Alligator mississippiensis: one gene and its partner. The protein of the gene in region 1 purifies or fractionates together with the protein of each later gene. This does not show direct contact. Links are inferred from orthologs where the notes say so. Each region holds a gene or a part of one and is shown on either strand. Other genes may lie near its edges.

Region 1 (10,184 bases):
AACAATGCTTCACAAGCTTCTAAGTTCATTGGTAAACTGGTGATTGTGATAATTTTACTGGGTTATGTAAAGAAAGGAGAAGGGCCAGCAGAAGCTTGAATTCAATTTTAAGCTCTAGGCTAGGTTGTCTTATGTAGTTGTATAAGAACTGAAAAAGTATGCTTAAATTTTCCCTAAAGGAAGAAAAGAAGCATGCACCTGAAAAAATATGCTGCCTAGTGCATAGCATGTACCAGCTGTAATAGTGTCTCACACTAGTTGAACTGTCCTTTCAAGAGTGTGGGATGGTGCCATGCAATGTTAATACTGTTAGGTGTGTAAACATGATTCACAAGATAAACCCAGGTTTTTCAAAGAGAAATCCATAATGTTAAAAATATTCTGCCAAAACAGGGCGGAGGGTGGGGAAGGGGGTGGAGCAGGGTCAGACCTGAAGCATGGGGAAGGAGGGGTAATAGGGGGAGTGGGGTCAGACCCGAAGTGGCACCCAAAAAGCACCTTGTTCAAATTTGCAGATGAAACTAAGATGTGGGGAGAAGTGGGCACACTAGAAGGGAGGGACAGGCTGCAATTGGATCTGGACAGGTTACAGGGGTGGCAGATGAGAATAAGATGGGATTCAATAGTGCAGGTTACTGCACCGAGGGAGAAAGAGCCAGCAGCATACCTACAGGCTGGGGAACTCCCTTCTTGTCGGCACAGAGGCAGAAAAGGATCTTGGAGTCACTATTGACTCCAAGATGAACATGGGCCGCCAATTAGGGATGCAGTCAGGAAGGCTAACTGTACCTTGTCATGCATCCACAGATGCATCACAGGCAGGTCCAAGGTGATCCTCCCCCTCTATACGACGTTGGTCAGGCTGCAGTTGGAGTACTGCATTCAGTTCTGGGTGCTGCACTTCAGGAGGGATGTGGACAACATGGAGAGGGTCCAGAGGAGGGCCACTCGCATGGTCAGGGGGCAGCAGGGCAGGCCCTATGAGGAGAGGCTACGGACCTGAACCTGTTCAGCCTTCACAAGAGAAGGCTGAGAGGGGATCTGGTGGCTGTCTATAAACTGGCCAAGGGAGGCCAGCAGGCAATGGGAGAGTCCCTGTTCCCCGAGCACTACTGGGAGTAACAAGGAATAATGGCCATAAGTTGATGGAGATAGATGGAGATAGTTGATGGAGTAGATTCAGGCTAGATATCAGGAGGCACTACTTCACTGTCAGGACAGTTAGGATCTGGAACCAACTTCCAAGGGAAGTGGTGCTTGCTCCTACCCTGGGGGTCTTTAAAAGGAGGCTAGATAGACACCTTGCCAGGGTCTTTTGACCCCAGCATTCTTTCCTGCCCATGGCAGGGGGTCGGACTTGATGATCTGCTCAGGTCCCTTCCAACCCTACCAACTATGAAACTATGGACATGGGGCTTCTTCCCTGCCAGCTCCCTTTCCTCTATCATTCTTGATGGGCAGTTTGCTAGTTTAATAATAATACATTACCATCAATATTTATTACTCTTGCTCTGCATTGATATAAAATTCCTTGGCTTTGCCTATATTAGGGAAGTTCTACTGCTTCAGCTACAGCAGTGGTACTGAGGCAGTTTACTGTGTGGGTCTTTTAGCAGATGGGAGATTTTCTGCTGCCACAGCTACAGGAGTTCTCCCTGTGTAGAAGCTCTGTACATCCACACTGAGGCTGTATCTGCACTGCGGGTTTTGCTGGTGAAGTTATATTGGCTCCAGGACACCCTTAGCTGACGTAGTTCTGCTAGTAGAACATTGTGTGGCAACAAGGGTCTTGTCTGCAGCCTTCCAGGCTCTGCAAAGCTCTGCAGTTGGGACCTTTCCAACTACAGTTTATGCTCTGGCCGCTTCTCTGGCTGTCGTTTTCTTCTGCTTGTGATCACTTGCTCATTCTACCCTTTAATCCTTAACTTCCACAGTGTCACACTCCCTTGCTTCTGAGAAACCTCCATTGATAGTTGCCTTCAGTTCTTTATTTCTTTCTAACTATTTTCAGGTCTTTTTCCCTTTCTAGCAGCTGTCTGTTTAAAAAAAAAAAAAAGGGGGTGGGGAGGGATATGTGAAAGTGGTGTGTATATACACAGATGATCTTCCACCAAAACAAGTCTTCCCACCGGAAACAGCAATCAGATGGGAGGGAGGAGAATAGTGATTTTCTTCCATGCTCCAGCATAAACCCAACTTTTGATACCAAAATTTAAAAAGAAATTTGGAGTAGATGCCCTGATCCTGCAAAGATCAAAGCAGGTCTATCTTCTTCTTCAGCAATCCCTTGCAGTCTCAAGGATGATTGATTTCCATGATTGTTTTATCTGTGAATCTGAAGACGGCTGATGTGGCCAATCTAGGATTAACAGACTCTGTTGCAATTTGGGCATATCCTTCTGTGTAGGGTGGGTGGCTACAGATTCTTGATTCAGCCCATGACGCACTATTTATGCTGTTCCCTCTTTTCCACATCTATAACACATAGGGAATCTACTTTTAGACCCTCTAGGATGAAGTTAAGCACTTGCTTAAGTCTTTGGAAGATGTAAGCTGTTAATTCTCTCTTCCTCTTTGGCATACTTTGTTGGGTGTGAAATGGATGCCACTGTTTATATTAAATTAGGTCTTGAGCTAACCCCCAACTAAAATAAGGAAAACAGTTCTGTGAACTATTTCAGGCTGTGTGTACCTCAGCCAGGCCTCATCTTTGTGGGGAAAGTTGTTCTGGTATATCAGTATGTGTCTATGTGAAGAAACGACTGGTATAATTTTAGTGGTACACCTGCTGCACTATATTTACACTGGTGGAATATATGTAGCAGTTCCCAGCCTGAAATGATAGTACAGAACGCCGTGTGCATATCAATCGGGTCTTTTCTGCAGGGGAAATATTACACAGGTATAACATAAAGGGCTTGCCTACATGAGGATATGTACAGTATAATTATTCTGCTATAATTATACCAGTATAACTCCCTACATGGACATTCTTAGCTGGAATAAAAATATGTGCCTGGGCAGTCACAGCCATATAACTGTAGGGATATAATTATCCGAGTACATTTCCTCATGTAAGCAAGGCTTTTCAAATATATATTTAAAACAATATAGTTAAAACATTACAAATCCCTTGTGTAATCTAGGGATATAAGGATGATATAAGGAGGGCTTTTATTGTTTTAGCTTGAGTTAATTGGGAACAAATTTAAATGAAAAAAAAGACTGACTTGATCTACTCTTTAAATCATAATTCATTACAGGAACAGCACTGATTCAGTTGTAGTAGTTTAAAAGCAAATTTAAGTTAAACCCGTAAAACGTGCCCATCTTGACAAGGCTTTGGACATTCCTGCTTCAGTAACATTCACTCTGAAGGTTTTTCTTTTTTGCAACCACCCACACACACTTCTAGACTGCTGATTCTGAACCATCTACTAATTAAATATATTCTAATTGATGCCAGTACATACATCTCTTCTCTCACTGCCACCTTTTCATATAGTATTCTGTAGTCAGTCCTAGTTAAAAAAAAAAGGATGTAATTGTAATAGAAGTGATCCAGAAACCAGGAACAAAAATCATGAAACTTATGAAGAGATTTCAATAGGAGCTGGGAGAGGAGTCTTTAGGATTGTAGGCTGGAGAAACGATGAACAAGAAAGGATATGATAGCTTTGGAAAAAAAGCAAAACAAAAGTACATTTTTTGTCAATTCCAAAGGTTCAAAAATCCTGAGTTAGTCCTCCCCCCAGTCAGTGAGGTTTGTTTAAAAAAAACATATATTCATCTGCATAGTGATTTTTGAAGCCTCCCTGCTGCTCCTGTGTGTGATAATTAATTACTGTTTTTAGTGCTCCTAAATAAGGGGTTTTTTGTCCCTGCTATAAGAGGGCCAAACCACACATTGGTGTTGTCTCCCAGCAGCTCTTGGGGCTCTTCACCCTCACCTTTTCCCCAGGCTGGGAAGGGGGAAGCAATATACTATGTCCTCCCCGCCTTCCTACACTAGGTCCCATTCCTGTGCTTACTGGAGTGTGAAGGATTAGAGGATTCTTTCTTTTCCTTTGTGCTTATATTGTGGCCTCTTGAAGGCAGGGAGAGAGTACTTCCTGCAGGAGCTGTGTTGGCTGCTGTGAGAGGCTGTTTCCTCCCAAGCACCGCTGACATTTAGGTGTGGCTGGAACTTCTACTGTGGGAGACCTGCTCCTGCCCTGCCAAATTCGTGTGCAAAGAATGCACAAGAGCTGGCAACAATTGTGCACGGCCTCAAGCAGGGTCTCTCATTTTCCTTTACAAAGAACAGAAGGGCATTCAATGGGGAGGTAGGAGTTCTGAAGCATATAAAAGGAAACCTCTTCTTACACAGCCTGTGTTTATCAGTGGGAATCATTGCCACAGAATAGAATCAGCTCTTGCCTTGAGCAGGGGCCTGGAGTAGGTGACCTCATAAGGCCCCTTCTGGCCCTATTTTTGTATAATCCTGTGGTTTCAGACCCAGGGCACTCTCAGAAAATGCCAGCTCCTAGTTGTCACTCTTTTTTGACTTCAGAAAAATACTAGAGTATTAGAACAGCAAGACATTGGAATAGCCTGCCCAGAGAAGTTGTTGATTCTCCCATGAACGACTGGTGCCTCCTGAGACAGGGGGGCATCATTTGTAGGCAGTAGCATCGGCGGCGAGGGGGGAGGGAATGGGGTGGTGAGTGGTGATCACCCACAGAAGCTGGCAGCAGCCAATCTCAGGGGGGGCACATGTCCCCCCCCCCCCCAACGCATCGCCTATGGATTCTGTCACTGAAGGTCTTCAAGAAATTGGACAGCCACAGGGCCAGAGCTGATCGAGGCATAGCTATGCCTATATTTTACTGTGGGTATCTCCTCTACTTCTGAACTTTGCCCTGCCCTCCCCCAGCCCCCTTTCTGCTACATGTGTGGGGATGTTTTCAAGCCTCCCTCAGAGGCACTGGGTGTTGGCTACAGCCAAGGCTGGGGACTGTGGGGCGTGCCAATGCTCCTCCTGGGACCAAAGCCAGAGGTTCCTGGCTAGATGGTCTTGCCCCTCTGCTCATGGTCAGACCACTTACTGTATTTGGGGGCAGAAAGATTTTACCCCATAGTCAGACTGGCACAGACTGTGGGTTTTGGGGTTTTTTTAGCCTTAATTCAGAGGGGGGGGGGCAGGGGTCTGTACCCCAGATCTCTTTTGAGCATGTGCTGAAACACATGAAATACACTGAAATACTTCAACTAGATTGAAATAAATAGAAGTAGGATTTTGGCTGCCAGGGGTTCCCCTGCTTTACCTGCAGCAGGTGAGGGCATTAGTTTGTGTTGTGTCAGGGCTGAGCAGAGTTTAGATTATGACTTTATAGGATGGCTGGGATGGCGGTGATGTTGCCTCAGGCAGGGGGCCAGACTGGATGAGCTCTGGAGGTCCCCTCCACCCGACTTCTCTAGGACTTGATGAATTCTTCTGTTGCCAAGACCCCCAGAAAGCCCACAGCAGACGGATGGGCAGAACACGGATTCCTGTGTGCAATCTCCGGGTTTGCCTGGAGTTGTGTCTCTGCACCCGACCCCGCTACCAGCTTGTGGCATCGCAAGCCCCAGGCGCCGTCTAATCCCCGTGTGCTGGGGACCGGGACTGGGACGTGGACCCCTCCCAAGCTCCGCGCTGCGGGCCTGGCCGTGGGGGAGGGGCCATCCCGAGAGGCGACGCGCCAGAATTCGCGCGGGAAGGGGCCGCTTGCAGCTCCCGCGGTTGTTCTGTGCAGGGGGCGTGGCCAGGCCAGCAGCTCCGGCCAATGGCAGCGCGGAGGGGACGGGCTTGGCCCCTCTTCCCGCGTTCATGTACAATGGAGGGCGTGGCCCGGCGGCCACTCGGACCAATGGGAGCGCAGCTCTGAGGCCGGCTCGCGCTGCCATTGGTGGGCGCGGCGTTCGGGCGCCAAGTTCGAAGGGGGATATAAAGGGTCTCGGCCGCCGGCGCCAGTTCCTGCCCTGCGCCCTGTCACAGCCGCCGCCAGCAGCACTAGCATCATGATGCAGCCCGCCCGCGCCCCGCTCTCGGCCCGCAACGACCAGCCGCGCCTGTCGCCCATGAAGCACCTGGCGCTGAGCGACAAGGAGAACACGGTGAGTGCCTGCCCCAGGCCAGCCGGCTTCGGAGCCGCTGCCACCGCCCGCGCCCTGCTCATGCCCCGTTTCCCCTTCTCTCCCCGCAGCCACCGACGTTGAGCAGCACGCGGATCCTGGCCAGCCGCGCGGCGCGGAAGATCTTCCAGGACGCGGACGCCAAGCCGGTGAGTGCGCCCCCTCCCCACACGTGCTCCGTTCCCGCCAACCCCCCCCCCCACGTGCTGTTTTCCCGCCACTTCTCGCTGCCACGGCCCCCCGTGACCTTCCCCGCGTGTCCTGCAGGCGCCGCCGGAGCCCGTCCCGCACCGGCCGGAAGACGAGCCGCTGTTGCGGGAGAATCCGCGCCGCTTCGTCATCTTCCCCGTGCAGTACCACGACGTGTGGCAGATGTACAAGAAGGCTGAGGCCTCCTTCTGGACCGCCGAGGAGGTGAGTGCGGCCCGGGGCATCAGGCAGCTGCTCCCGGCAGTGGGGGCGGCAGCCGGGATCCCCACTCAACACAACTGGGCTCCTGATAGCACCTACCCAGGGACCAGACAATGGCTTTAAAGTAGCCCTGTGGCTTTAAAATGATCCCCATGGCAAAACCCGGGGGGCCGCAGGGGCTTGGAGGTCTCCAATACTTTGATCTGTGGGGTATCAAGCAAAGGAGGCTACCCTGTTGCTGTTCCTTCCAGGGTTCGCTTCTTGCACTCAGCTGGCTGCCTTGAATTTTTCATTTGAGAAGCGCTCAGGTGCATGCACCTGGTGTCTAGTTACATCTGTACATATACACATGCCTAGACACCAGCACCTGAGCACTTCTCAAGTGAAAAAAATTTAAGGTAGTTGGAAACTTCATTGCAACTTGCTATGGCTCTAGGGCAGGGGTGAATAAAATACAGCCTACAGGCTGGATCTGGCCTGTCAACTTATTGGATCCTGCCCATGGACAGGCATCCACCAATTCAGTTGTATCCAGCCTGGCTGCCCCCCACCCCTGCGGCCCTCTGTGTGGGGTGAGTCCTGCCCATTCCTTCCCCCCCACCCACCAGGCAGCACCATCCTAGCCAGTGTGCACAGTTTCACCCACAGAGCTGCTCCTGGTGTAGCTGCAGCTGCCTGGGTGCTGCTTGATTTCCCACCTATCTCCTCTTCCACCTGCCCCTGTACCATTTTGTGGGGATGCATGCTGGGCAGCAGATGCCCAGCCAGGTGTGGGGGAAGCTGCAGCCTGGTGGCTCCTGCCCCAGTGTGTAGGGCTTCATCTCCTAGCTGCCTTCCATCTACTTCAATTGCCTGGCACAATGAGCACCCTGCTAGGCAGCTGACTAGATGGAAGGCAACCTGGAGTTATAGTCCCACATGTTGGCATGGGAGCTGTAACTTCCCCCTTGCTGGCTACATGTGTGGTGCCTCACTGTTTGGAGCAGTGCAGCAGGAGGAAGAGCTGCTGGACATAGGGGGCAAGTAGCACTGGGAGCAGCCCTGCTGGGAAGCTGCGCACACAGACCTTGGCAGTGCTATTTGGCAGGTGGGAATGTGGCATGGGCTGCCCTGGGCAGGAGTAGGTGGGGCTTAGCCCCATGCAGAGTGCCACTGAGGCAGCCTAGTGGGGGAGGGGAGGGTGACGTGTCTGCAACCTGTCTGGACGAGCTCTGTTGCATGCCCTCCACACCCTACACTCGCCCCACATGCCTACTCCCTCACATGTCCCTGAAAGCTTGCAAATACTTTTTGCAAATATCCAGCTGGTCTAATAAGATATCACCTCTACCAAGAGTTCTTATTCCTTCTTGCTTGTAGACCAACACTGCTACAACTTGTACACCCCTCCCCCCCTCCCTTCACAGGCACCTGCATACCCCCCCCCACATACAAGAGTGAGACTGTTTTTGAGCTATACTTTTAGTACACATAGAGGTGATTGCATAATAAGTCAAGGCAAAAATATTTTTTTTTAATTAAAATTAAAGTGCAGTAGATGTTTGGTATTTAGGATCTGATCTGTTAACTTGTTAAAATGATATCGTCTGAAATATTTATGCAGCCTTTGACAGCTTACCAAAACTCATTAGGTGGCCATGCAACTGAAATAATTGCCCACCCCTGTTCTAGGATCACACCTCTAATTTCATAACTGTTTTTTGGGGGCGGGGATTATAGGTTGAAGGAAGACTGAGAATGGGACCTAATGGGTCTAATGCAATATATTAAACCCCAAACCCTATATTTTCCAATCATGACAATGATGAATTGCTGCCTGTTTGGTTTTTTTTGTTTGTTAGGTGGATCTTTCAAAAGATATTCAGCACTGGGAGTCCCTCAAGCCTGAGGAGAAATACTTCATATCGCATGTCCTAGCCTTCTTTGCAGCAAGTGATGGCATTGTAAATGAAAACTTGGTGAGTGTATGAAGAGCAGTCCTGTTTAAATCGTAAGCAGTTGGGCTAGCGTGGAGCTAACCAGATAACAACATAAGATGTTTACTAACGGACTGCTCTGCTCCAAAACCTATTAAACACTTCTGGGTTTGTTTGCTTTTTTTGGAAGGAGGCCTTGTTTTTTCCCTAAAGCCAGCATTGTTCCTTAGACTAGAATCTGCATTTTTGGCAGTAAACTTCCCTGATGAGTACAAAGCAGAGTTTTTGTTTTTCTTTTTTTTATAAAGAGAATACAAAGGGTTGGAGTAGATTGGGTTTTATTCTTCATTCGGTCACTAATTCTAGTTTGGCTTTTAGGCAGATCACTCAGTCTCCAGATCTCCTCCTTTTTAAAATGGAGGCACTTTTCTGGGACACAGAGCCAAAGGAATGCTGGTATTCTAACTTGTGTTACCAGAATAAGTTCTGAATATTGAACTATCCTGTCTTATTCCTAGTTATCGTGACTTACTTAAATATGCTTGTGTGGATTCATAGCTCTGTTGCAACCTGTAGTTGGTTGTTATTTCTATAAATGTTTAATTATTCGGTTTCTCCTTTAGGTGGAGCGTTTTAGCCAAGAAGTGCAGATCACAGAAGCTCGCTGTTTTTATGGCTTCCAGATTGCCATGGAAAACATTCATTCAGAAATGTACAGTCTGCTTATCGACACTTACATAAAAGATCCAAAAGACAGGTTAGTATCATATATCGTAAAAGGCTTAATTATTTTAAGTGGAGGCAAGAAAAGATGGAGAGGTCTGATTTTTTTGGAAGATAGTAAGTTAGGATGGTCAAAGCATTGGTAAACATGGTTGAGAACAATCTGGTGGTAGAGCAGGAAGGCAAAACATTATGCAAACAGAATTTGTCAAGTATAAATGACAAGCGATGGTAAGTTGAAGATGTAGGTAGAACGTTCAAACTATTTTGTTTATGCTGTAGAGGACTAAGCCTTCATTGCATTAGCCAGTGAACAGATAAATGACCCAGTACTGCGTTTCTTTGAGAACTACAACAGCTCTTTTGACTAAATCTCCACTTTGGTACTGCCTTTCAAGGTAACTGAAATATGTGACACTTTGCTGAACTATTTTTAAACCAGTAGTTTCTAATGCAACAAAGCACACATTCCTTTTTGACAGCAACATGTACATAAAGCTTAAAAACTGCCATCCAAAGAACAAGTTCCTTTTTGAAAACTGGTGATGTGGAAATGGGTTAGCTCCAAGACTATCAGTCTAAAAAGTATTACAGATTGAGCAATTAAAAAAAACAACAAAACAAAACCCCACAGCAACAACAAAAACAAAATCCCCCACAATTTTAAGGCTAATTTCAAAGCCATATTGCTGCCTTGTGTGAGGACTGACTGTTGCATTGAAAACCCTGGGTAAATGTGCTCAGTTGATCGGCCAGGATGACAGAGTTGGAGTGGTACAAAAATCTCAGCCCCCAAGGTCTTTACATTTAAAAATACATCAGCTGCAGGCAGTTAAAGCTGCTTCAGTGACAGCACTTTTAATGACAACTCTTAGCAAATGCTTATTGAATAGTCTGCCATGTAGACTTCTGTCTAATGTACTATACACTTTCTTCAGGGAATTTCTTTTCAATGCTATTGAAACTCTGCCATGTGTT
Region 2 (10,259 bases), on another chromosome or scaffold:
CTACCCACCTCACTTGGATCAATCGGAATACTCCCTCTACTGTGAGGAATTCTTTCACAAGTTATTTCCACTCATACGATACATAACATGTTAAGGTATCTGCAGTCACGTCAACAGTTTGTAATGAGTTTCTAACCTAACTATCCCTTTTTTGCATTGGGTCATTGCTCTTGATCAAATCTCTTCCTTCATGTAGCCATACCTCATGCTTACCCTGTATCTGTTAGCTACAGGACAAAACTACCTAGCAGCAAGAATGAATTAAAAGCAGAAGGATCACTACAGAGGCCTGGGACAACACCTTAATGATAATCCCAAACCCAGCACTATCTTCAACCTCCATCTGGGGGAGTTTTTGAAGCAATCCACTAGAAAGGAAAAGGATCTGTTCTAATCTCAATGGCCTGCGAGTGGTGGCTTGGTGAGAGGGGTCATTTATCCCAATGAAAAGCAATATTGACTGCCTTGCTTATTGCTCAGATCTTTGCCAAGCAGCTGCAAAGTGCCTGTTTCACTATTGGTTACTGCTACTTTTCAGTGATCAAAGACTAGGCAGATTCTCTCTGAGCTACTAGGTAACAGGGCCGTGCGAAATTTCACCCAGTGTTTCATTTCAAAGTTGTTTCAATGCGTTTCCAGCTTGAAACAGCAAAATCGAAACAAAACTAAAGCCTTCAAAACAGCTTTGAAATTAAACAAGGGAACTCAAAACATTTCGAAAAGTTTCGAAACATTTCGAGTTTCAAAGCCAGGCTTACTGGCTTCAGCACCAGTCCCAGCTGGCAGCACCTACTTCCTGTCATCTGGCAGGCAGATCGGGACTCGCCCACACCCCCGGGAGGGCTGTGGGGGGCTGTGCGAGCCCTTGATCTGTCTGCCAGATTACAGACTGGCACTGGGCACAGCCAGCACCAGGAAGATCAGTGCTGCACCTGGCTCCTGTCAGCTGGCAGGCAGATTGGGGGCACATAACCCCAGGATGACTCCAGCACAGCCCCCGCAGCACTCCCAGGGGTGCCGGCAGGCCCCTGATCTGCCTGCCGGCTGACAGGAGCTGGGTGCTGCTGCCTGAGGCCAGCGGGCCAGGGCAGATCAGCTCATGCAAGGACCCACTGCCCCAATCCCAGGGCGGAGGAGGGTCCCCGTACAAGCTAATCTGCCCCAGGCCCCACACTCGTCTGGAGCTGGCTTCAGTATGGGGCTGGGGATGATCAGCTTGTGTGGGGACCTGCTGCCCTGATCCTGGGGCTGGCTCCAGGCAGGTGCAGATCAGCTGGTGCAGGGACCCTTCCCTGCCCCCGGATCAGCATGGCGGGTCCCTGCACGAGCCGATCTGTCCTGGCCCCGCTGGCCCCAGGCAGCAGCACCTGGCTCCTGTCAGCTGGCAGGCAGATCGGGGGCCCGCCGGCACCCCTGGGAGGGTTGCGGGGGCCATGCCGGAGTCCTCCCAGGGGGTATGTGCCCCTATCTGCCTGCCAGCTGACAGGAGCTGGGTGCTGCCGCCTGGTGCCAGTGGCGGCACTGATCTTTTCAGTGCTGGGTGCAGGCTGCGCCCAGTGCCAGTCTGTCATCTAGCAGGCAGATCGGGAGCCTGCACTCCTTGGAGGACTCCGGCACAGCCCCCGCAGCCCTTCCAGGGGTGTGGGTAAGCCCCCGATCTGCCTGCCAGATGAGGAGCCAGGTGCTGCTGCTTGGGAGTGGCGGCAGCAGCGATCTCCTCAGCACTGGTCTCAGGCAGCGCACCAATCTTCTCTCATCTGGCAGGCAGATCAGGGGCCACACCCCTGGGAGGTCTCCGGCACAGCCCCGGCAGCACTCTCAGGGGTGCAGGCGAGCCCACGATTTGCCTGCCTGCTGCATTTTATGTTTCCCCATAACCTATGGGCAAAACATCAAAACAGTGTTGAAACAGCAAAACACTTTTGACGAAACGAAACGGAACAGTGCTTTCGAAACAAAACTAAACGAAACTCGAAACGAAACACTGTTCCGCTGAATTGTCAAAATGGAAGTCGAATTGGAACGGTGCTGTTTTACACAGCCCTACTATGTAGAGCTGTAAGCAGCAGCCCAAGGGAAGGAACTGCCCGTTGGCACCAGAGACACTGGGTCAGCATCTGGAAAGGGGCCTTTTTTTCACCTGGCTTGAAGTGCTGAAACCACACACTTAAAAAAACAGAGTTTAAATTCTGCAAAGGGAGTCATCGGCCTCCTCACCAAGCAGTTTTTCTTCTTGCCAACATCAAGTGTAGCTTTAAAGTTCAGCTTATAGGGCATTTATACACGCATCTTTACCTGCTCCAACATGCCAGAAATCCAGTGTGTCCGAGAAGACTCAGTTAATCAAGTCTGTGGAGCACACAATCTGATGTGCCCGGCGTTACATCGCCTACATTTGTATAAAGGGTGAAATGCGCATCAGTGCTAAGAAAATGGCGGCGGTGCACTTTTGAACTAAAACACCTTCGATTCATTTTAGTTCAAAAGTGCACTGCTGCCATTTTCTCAGCGCTGATGCACTTTTCATCATTTATACAAATGCATGCGATGCAGCACCAGGCACTTTTAAAAAGCACCTGACACTCTTGTTCCATGTATGTGTACAAATGCCTATAGATCTTATCCAATGAGATTCTGAATTTATTCAGAAAGTCTGATCAGCTGGGTTTTCCCCAGACTTTTCAGGAAGATTTAAGGAACAACCCCTTTGCAAGGATTTCATCATTTATTTGTAGGGCCACAGGGACTGATTTAGCTGAGGATGTGACAGAATGAAGAAACCCATTACTGTATAAGGCACTGGCTACCAACTTCTCTGAAAAAATTCTCCACCCCCATTTTTCACTATTTCAAAGAGGTGAAGGTTTGGGGGTTTTTTTTTAATGTTGTACTACTAGAAGGAGAGATTTTCTGTAGATTGCCTTCCTGGCCTGCTCTGTTTTCCATTCTCACTGTCACATTGTAACAGACCAGCATACAGAGAACCCTACAGCCAAGTGCTTCTCTGGTTCCCACCATGGAAAACACTGGGTGGCATAATTTAGGAGGGCAGAACCAAGATAGCTAGAGGGAAAAAGTCTGATTGGCTGCTTTTGAGCTTCCTCCCTAGGACCAGTGACACTGACGCAGGTTCAGAATTGCCTCACTGATTGGGAAATACCCAGCTGGAGGAACTATATTGCCCACTACAAGTTATAGGTATTTTTGCAAAGTAAAGTGGCCACATCCTATGCACCAGAATAGAACATCTTTTTATACCAAAAATGAATGCATCCCACTAATTCTTTTGAGATCAATGGCCACTGTTTCAGTGGGAGCCCCTTGCTATGTCAGTTACCTTTGAATAAAGATTATAGCTATGTGATAAGGGGCAATTCTGACATTGCCACTATCTGGCAGGTGTTCCTCTTCTCTTCTAGAATGAGATCTACTGTAAAGTAATAAGGCAACGCAATCTAGACTGATGTGTCAATGATGCCTTTAGTCAGATTTGAAGCCTGACTCATCAGCTCAGAGAACTGAAGCTGACAACACGGCTCCCCCGGCCAAGAACATTTAAGAGGAAGACTACCAAAAATTGCCACATGAGCTATAAACAAGCATGTTTGCACTGTGTGCACAGATTGTATCACCAATATATTCCAAGCAAGTCCTGATTAAATAGGCAAATGTACTATAAGTTCCTTCAGTTACTGAAGGCAATATGTTGTAGAAAGAGATCTAGCACTGCCTGCATGCCTGCAGCAAGAAACAAAATACATTAATCTCAGGCGTTTTTAAATATTCCTGTCCCATTTATGCAGAAAGAACAATTAAAAAATAATAATTTGTTAAAGTAACCTGGTTTCAGGAAAATATTCTTAGAAAACAAACACACAAATATAAGATGTAGGTGTAAGTGATTCACCTGTATGTATAAAACAGTTATTACATAATCATTAATTAGATGCTCTTCCACAGGTGACTAATAAGTAATTTACTTTGGAAGAGACTGTGTCTGCTCTGCACCTGAGGAGTCAGAAACACTTTTGCGAGGCAGGGGGGGCCGCCTCTCCCTTTGGAGGGAAGAGACTTGACGGCACAAGACAGGAGGTTGCTGCCCCCCCCCCCGCCATGAACGGAAGAGGAGCAGCCCAGCGCGGGCATCGCGGCCCGGCAGACGCTCCCCGGCCGCAGGCTCCCGCCGCCCGTGCTGGCCGGTCACGGCGGGCTCACACCTCGGACTTCGCTCTGGCATTTTATGGTCGCGGCACCCCGCGTCGACCCGCTGCGCCCCCCGGCGGAGGTGCCCGAGGTGCCCCCTGGCGGACCGGCCCCGGCCCCGGCCCCGGCCCCGGCCCGCGCAGTCCCTGCGGATTTTTAAATCCACCCGCCCAAAGCAGCGCCGCTCCCGGGCTCCAGCCAACCAGGGCCGGGCCGGGCCGGGCCAGGGCTCCCCGCGGCGGCCCCTGTCCGGGCCGGAGCCAGCTCCTGGGGCAGACGCACCCGACCGCCCGGGCCCCTCGCAGCGAGCCCGGCCAGGGCCCCGCGTCCCGCTCTCACCGTCCGCTCTCATGCCTGCCCCGCGCCGAGCGCCCCGCGACCCGAGTGGGCAGCAGCCGGTGCAGACTGAGCAGGCGGCCGGAGCCGAGGGCGGAGACCGGCCAGGGGCGGGGCCAGACCGGGCCACGCCCCCAGCACCGGGCCACGCCCCTCAGCCCCAGCTCGGGTCGGGCAGAGAGCGAGGCGAGCTCCGCCCAGGCCCCGACCCGGCCCCTGCTCCGCCGCCAGAACCCCGCCCCCTCCGCTTGCAGAGCGGCCCAAGCCACGCCCATCCACCGCGCGCACTTTTTTTCAAACCCAGCAGCCGTCCTGATTGGCTGCAAGGCCGGCGGGGCAGGCGGAGCGGCCTCGGCTCCGCCTCCTCCCCTCTGTCATTGGGCGCTCAGGATGCGAATTCGAATTGGGGCGGTTAGCGGCGCGCGCCGCTCGCGGGCTCTGGGGCCGAGGGGAGGCGCATGCGAAATGGCCCCGTCCTCCCCTGGGGGTGTGGGAGCGGGGTGAGCGCGGCCTGGCGAGGCTGTCTCGGGCCTTTCGTGCATCCTCTGTGCTGTCTATGGAAGGGCTCGGGCGCCTCATGGGGGGCCCTTGCAGGCAGAGCTGGGTGCGGAGGCGCTCGGAACTCGCAGGCCCCTGTCGCTCCGGCCACCTCAAGCTGCAGAGCACGAGTGGCCGCAGCCCTGCCAGTGCCCCACGCCCCCCGTGTGAGGCACATGCCCCGATTTGTGGGCACGGGCAGGAGCTGCCGCCACAGCCCAGCGCCTGGGACCCAGCGTGGGAGGGCGGAGCAGGGCGACAAGACTCGCGGCTGCCGCCACCACCACAGGGCCCCCGCGCCGCCAGCAGTGCTGGGCTCTGCTCCACCACCATGGCCTGGCTGCTGCCGCCGTCGCCACCACTGCCCTCCTGCCTCCTGCACTGCCTGCCGCCCACCGCCTCCAGGGTAGGGCCGCGGCCTGCAGGGGGCGGCAGCACTGGCTGCGCCATGCAACAGGGTAGAGGTGGGGGCAGCACAGCCCCCACCCATTACTCCTCATGCTGCTGGTGGCACGACTGGCGCTGGGGTCCTGGTGGCAGCAGCAACAAGCCTCGCTCCGCTCTCCTGCGTGCTGCGTCGCACGTCTGTGCTGGTCTGGTCTGGCCAGGCCAGGCTGCAGCCCCGTGCCTGCTGCGGATGCCCAAATCTGGGGGGACACATTGCCCCCCATAGACTTACCTGTGGGGAACTACAGGAGCTGCTTTCCAAGCTGCCTGGCTGCCACATGCATGTGTTGCCCCTTGCAAGCCGGCAGCTTGCAGGCTAACACTTTTCCACATTTTTCTCCTTTAAAGGAAAAAAACACGATTTTCCACATTTTTATGAGATTGTTTGAGACCTTTCATATATTTTTGGGCTGCACCCCATGGGTTGAAAAATGCTGCTCTAGACCATCCTATGTTTTCATCCCCCCCTCCCTCTGGCTCGGCAGGTATGCACAGCTGGAAAAGGGGTTAAGAGGAGGTGCTGGGAACTAGTGACTTCCGTGCCAAGTGGCACCAGCCTTCACCTCTAGTATTAGGGACCTCCGAATAGAGCTTCGATGTCAACAGCGTATGGGGAAAAGTTGCTTAAGATTTTAGACTGGGAGGCAGAAGGGGAAAGATAATAGCTGAAGAAGTCCAGGGAAACAGAAAGAAAAAGAACCAAAGTCTATAGCAGAAGAGTTAAAAAGTAATGTCTTCAGGATTAGGGAAAGGAGGACAAAGCACATGGGATGTTGGGAAAGGAAAGAAAAGGACAAATGAAACAGCCTTAGGAGGAAGTAACAGAGGTGCTCAGGAGAGAGAGAGAGAATGAAGATGCATCTTGAGGAAAATGGATAGGAGAGCAAGTCTGCTTCTGCAGAAGGGGCTGTACTTGTCATCCCTTGAAGATATTAGTGGGTTTTTAACAAGTTTGTGCACAAAGAAGACAACAGAAAGAAAAGCTCTTTGCAGGGTAGAGTAGTTCTCTGGAGACCATAAGCTGAGAGAGACTTTTCTTGTCCTTAGGTATGAGGACATAGCTCATACTGGTTGATACTCTCTTCTTGCTAGTATGTTAAATGATAGTAGGGTTTTCCATATCCTTGTGTGTGTGTTTACAGTATTGCTGCTGCTTTTATGTTTCTTATTTACTAGGTGGTCTAAGACAGTAGGAGATGATTATAGTAAAGGAGAGACAATATTTATATGAGCTCATGAAAATTAGCTAGGGAAACTTGGAAAGTAATAATAAAGGCATTTGCTTTGTACATTGTACACTTAATCTCAGGTGTTCCAAAATCTAACAAAAGAAATGTGTGCTCAATGTTTTTTTGTGGTTTTTTTTTTTTATTCTAGTACCCTGCTCTGTCCTCATATCCATCCCCACCAGAGGGGGTCACAACACCTAAGCCAGTCATGCACCCATTCTCTGAAGGGGATTATGTCCCAGTACAGCTGTTTCTGTCCATTTTATATAATATAAAGCTATATAAGCTATAATATCCCAGCACTTTTGTCTTTTCATATAAAATTAAACCAAAACATTCAATATGTAGCAATATTTTGTGTTTTTTAATTTCAAGGTGAACAAAGTAAATCTCAAAGCCACTTTCTTCTAACTCCTATCACTTAAAAATTATTTGTGTTTGCTCCTAAACTGAAAGGTGCATAGTAATGACTACACTTCTGCCTCTGCAACGGAATGGTGACTTCTGCTTACTCAAGAGAATTGTCAAAGCACATCTGGGTCTCTTATGCACAGGACAGCCAGTCACACAAGTCCTGCAATGTGAAAAGGGATTGTAAAAAGCTTTCATGCAGGTACAAGTTGTCTAATTAGCAAATTCTTTTTTTATTAATTATTCTGATGCTAGTAAAAAGTTGTAGATTGATAACTAGGATCTCTTATTTCCAAAGCTGGAGGGATCAAATATCCTACATTGCCTTTTCAGTGCATCTCAGCTGCAACTTTCCGATTAGGGAGGGGTTCCCCTCCCCCGCAACAGCCCAGCAGGGAGTTGATAACACAGTGTTTATCACCCCTCAGTGTTTATTAATAACAGCCTCTCATTAGTTCAAGCTCTTCTTAAACAACTTTTTCCAAGGAGGGACATTACCAGCTACCTGTTGATTAGCTCCCAAAAGCCCTAAGCTGACACTGTGCTGTCTGCCTTTGTCCTGTCTCCTGCAGCACAGACCATAGCCAGCATGTGGTATGCTAGCTAATGCTGAGAGGTGTCCGCATAAGACAGAGGGGAGGGGGGATCCCTGCTTGAGCAGGGGGTGAGGGGGAAGGGGAGAGCACGAGGGAGCAAGGCAGACCCCACTGTACCTGCAGTCTTTGCCAGAGCTGCAGCCAGGGAGCACAGGGGAGGAGCTAGCCTAGCTCTCTGGAGCAGAGAGCCCCACCCAGCCAAGTAAGCATGCCTGGATGCTAGGGGATTCTGATTTACCTTAAACCAGGATGGGGTCTGGGACAGATATTGCATAGACCAGTTTGGCCCAAATCAGTTAAGTCTGATACTACATTCAGCCAGATTTATCTCAAACCAGTTTCAGCCATTTTCAAACTGGTTAATGTGCACTGAACATCTCTTCTGTTACAGGTTTAAACCAGTTTCTGATCACTTAAACTGGTTTATCTGTAATGTCTGTCCCAGGGGTTGGAGGTCCTGCTCATCTTAACTAGGAACCTGGACTAGTGATGCTCAATCAGGGTGCCACGGCATCCTTTTAGGAGTGCTCTGTGGGGGCCCATGCAATTTTAGTATTGTTAGGATTCAAAAAATAAACCCAGAAGTTTCAAAAGGGAATTCATAGTGTCAAAACCATTCTGACCTGTTGTGGTCTGAAATCTTTTCAACAGAAGAATTGTTGATACTAGTTGAGAAGCTATTGTTACAGAGTTGAGAAATAAGTGAAAGCTAAGAGCTGGCATTTTTTGAGGGGTGCTTGAATCTAAAATAGTTGAGAAACACTAAAGCTAGACTGAGACTGCGAAATTCACCAACCGTCAGATAATAAATATATGCATTGCTTGCTTTTCTCTGAGGAACTCGGATACCGTGTCATTAATATTTTTCTCTCACAGATAGTGAAACTGAGATAGAGTAGCTAGATAACTTGTCTAAGGTCACACAGGAAGTCTGTGGCAGTGTTGAGACTAAGACTGAGGTTTGCAACCCTTCACTTCCTTGCTATCACCATTAGACTAAGGAGTCCCCAAACTTTTAAAGTGCAAATTTTAAGAGATTGTCATGGGGGTATTCTATGTTATCTCAATTTTGATCACACAAATTTGCTTCCCCTGTCACTTGTGGCTACATAATGTCTCTGTAGCACATAGAACAATTACTCATGTGAAAAAGTAATATTGGGAATGTTGTCCATGTTAATTTTAGCTTCTTTTCATGAGAAATGTTGTCCCTTTTGAAAAAAGTTGATCACGCTAGCTGCTTTTACTCTTCATCTCCCCCCTCACATCTGTTCTGTTTTTATAAATCATTTCAGCCAGAAACATGTGAACAGCTAGCTCCCTGAAGACTACCAGTTGTTCTCTGGCCCACTAGTGGCGCATACTGGTTTGGAGATTGCTATATTAGACCACGCTTCTAAATGTGGGGATTCATAGATTCATAGATGTTAGGGTCGGAAGGGACCTCAATAGATCATCGAGTCCGACCCCCTGCATAAGCAGGAAGGAGTGCTGGGTCTAGATGACCCCAGCTAGATGCTCATCTAACCTCCTCTTGAAGACCCCCAGGGTAGGGGAGAGCACCACCTCCCTTGGGAGCCCGTTCCAGACCCTGGCCACTCGAACTGTGAAGAAGTGTTTCCTAATGTCCAATCTAAATCTGCTCTCTGCTAGCTTGTGGCCATTGTTTCTTGTAACCCCCGGGGGCGCCTTGGTGAATAAATACTCACCAATTCCCTTCTGTGCCCCCGTGATGAACTTACAGGCAGCCACAAGGTCGCCTCTCAACCTTCTCTTGTGGAGGCTGAAAAGGTCCAGTTTCTCTAGTCTCTCCTCGTAGGGCTTGGTCTGCAGGCCCTTGACCATACGAGTTTCCCTTCTTTGGACCCTCTCCAGGTTATCCGCATCCTTCTTGAAGTGTGGCGCCCAGAATTGCACGCAGTACTCCAACTGCGGTCTGACCAGCGCCCGATAGAGGGGAAGTATCACCTCCTTGGACCTATTCGTCATGCATCTGCTGATGCACGATAAAGTGTCATTGGCTTTTCTGATGGCTTCGTCACACTGCCGGCTCATGTTCATCTTGGAGTCCACTAGGACTCCAAGATCCCTTTCCACCTCTGTGCCACCCAGCAGGTCATTCTCTAGGCTGTAGGTGTGCTGGACATTTTTCCACCCTAGGTGCAGCACTTTGCATTTCTCCTTGTTGAACTGCATCCTGTTGTTTTCTGCCCACTTGTCCAACCTATCCAGGTCTGCCTGCAGCTGTTCCCTGCCCTCCGGCGTGTCCACTTCTCCCCATAGCTTTGTGTCATCTGCAAACTTGGACAGAGTATATTTGACTCCCTCGTCCAAGTCGCTGATGAAGACATTAAAGAGTATCAGTCCAAGGACCGAGCCCTGCGGGACCCCACTGCCCACACCCTTCCAGGTCGAGACCGACCCATCTACCACGACTCTCTGGGTGCGACCCTCTAGCCAATTCGCCACCCACCGGACTGTGCAGTCATCCACATCACAG

The links.
Region 2: the proteins of RRM2 (region 1) and CCNF purify together in Homo sapiens (affinity purification with western blotting; 5 studies listed by BioGRID and IntAct, with this or other methods). This does not show direct contact. The link is inferred for Alligator mississippiensis from reciprocal best matches to the Homo sapiens genes RRM2 and CCNF.

Annotation. Positions count from the first base shown.
Region 1 is NC_081824.1:30,487,888-30,498,071, reverse strand, and holds the start of RRM2 (ribonucleoside-diphosphate reductase subunit M2), read left to right. Parts: upstream 1-5,989; 5' UTR 5,990-6,042; coding exon 6,043-6,138; intron 6,139-6,227; coding exon 6,228-6,305; intron 6,306-6,423; coding exon 6,424-6,570; intron 6,571-8,408; coding exon 8,409-8,525; intron 8,526-9,106; coding exon 9,107-9,240; intron 9,241-10,144; coding exon 10,145-10,184. UniProt on the Homo sapiens protein: Provides the precursors necessary for DNA synthesis. Catalyzes the biosynthesis of deoxyribonucleotides from the corresponding ribonucleotides. Inhibits Wnt signaling.
Region 2 is NC_081836.1:27,358,817-27,369,075, forward strand, and holds the start of CCNF (cyclin-F), read right to left. Parts: upstream 4,650-10,259; 5' UTR 4,556-4,649; coding exon 4,543-4,555; intron 1-4,542. UniProt on the Homo sapiens protein: Substrate recognition component of a SCF (SKP1-CUL1-F-box protein) E3 ubiquitin-protein ligase complex which mediates the ubiquitination and subsequent proteasomal degradation of target proteins.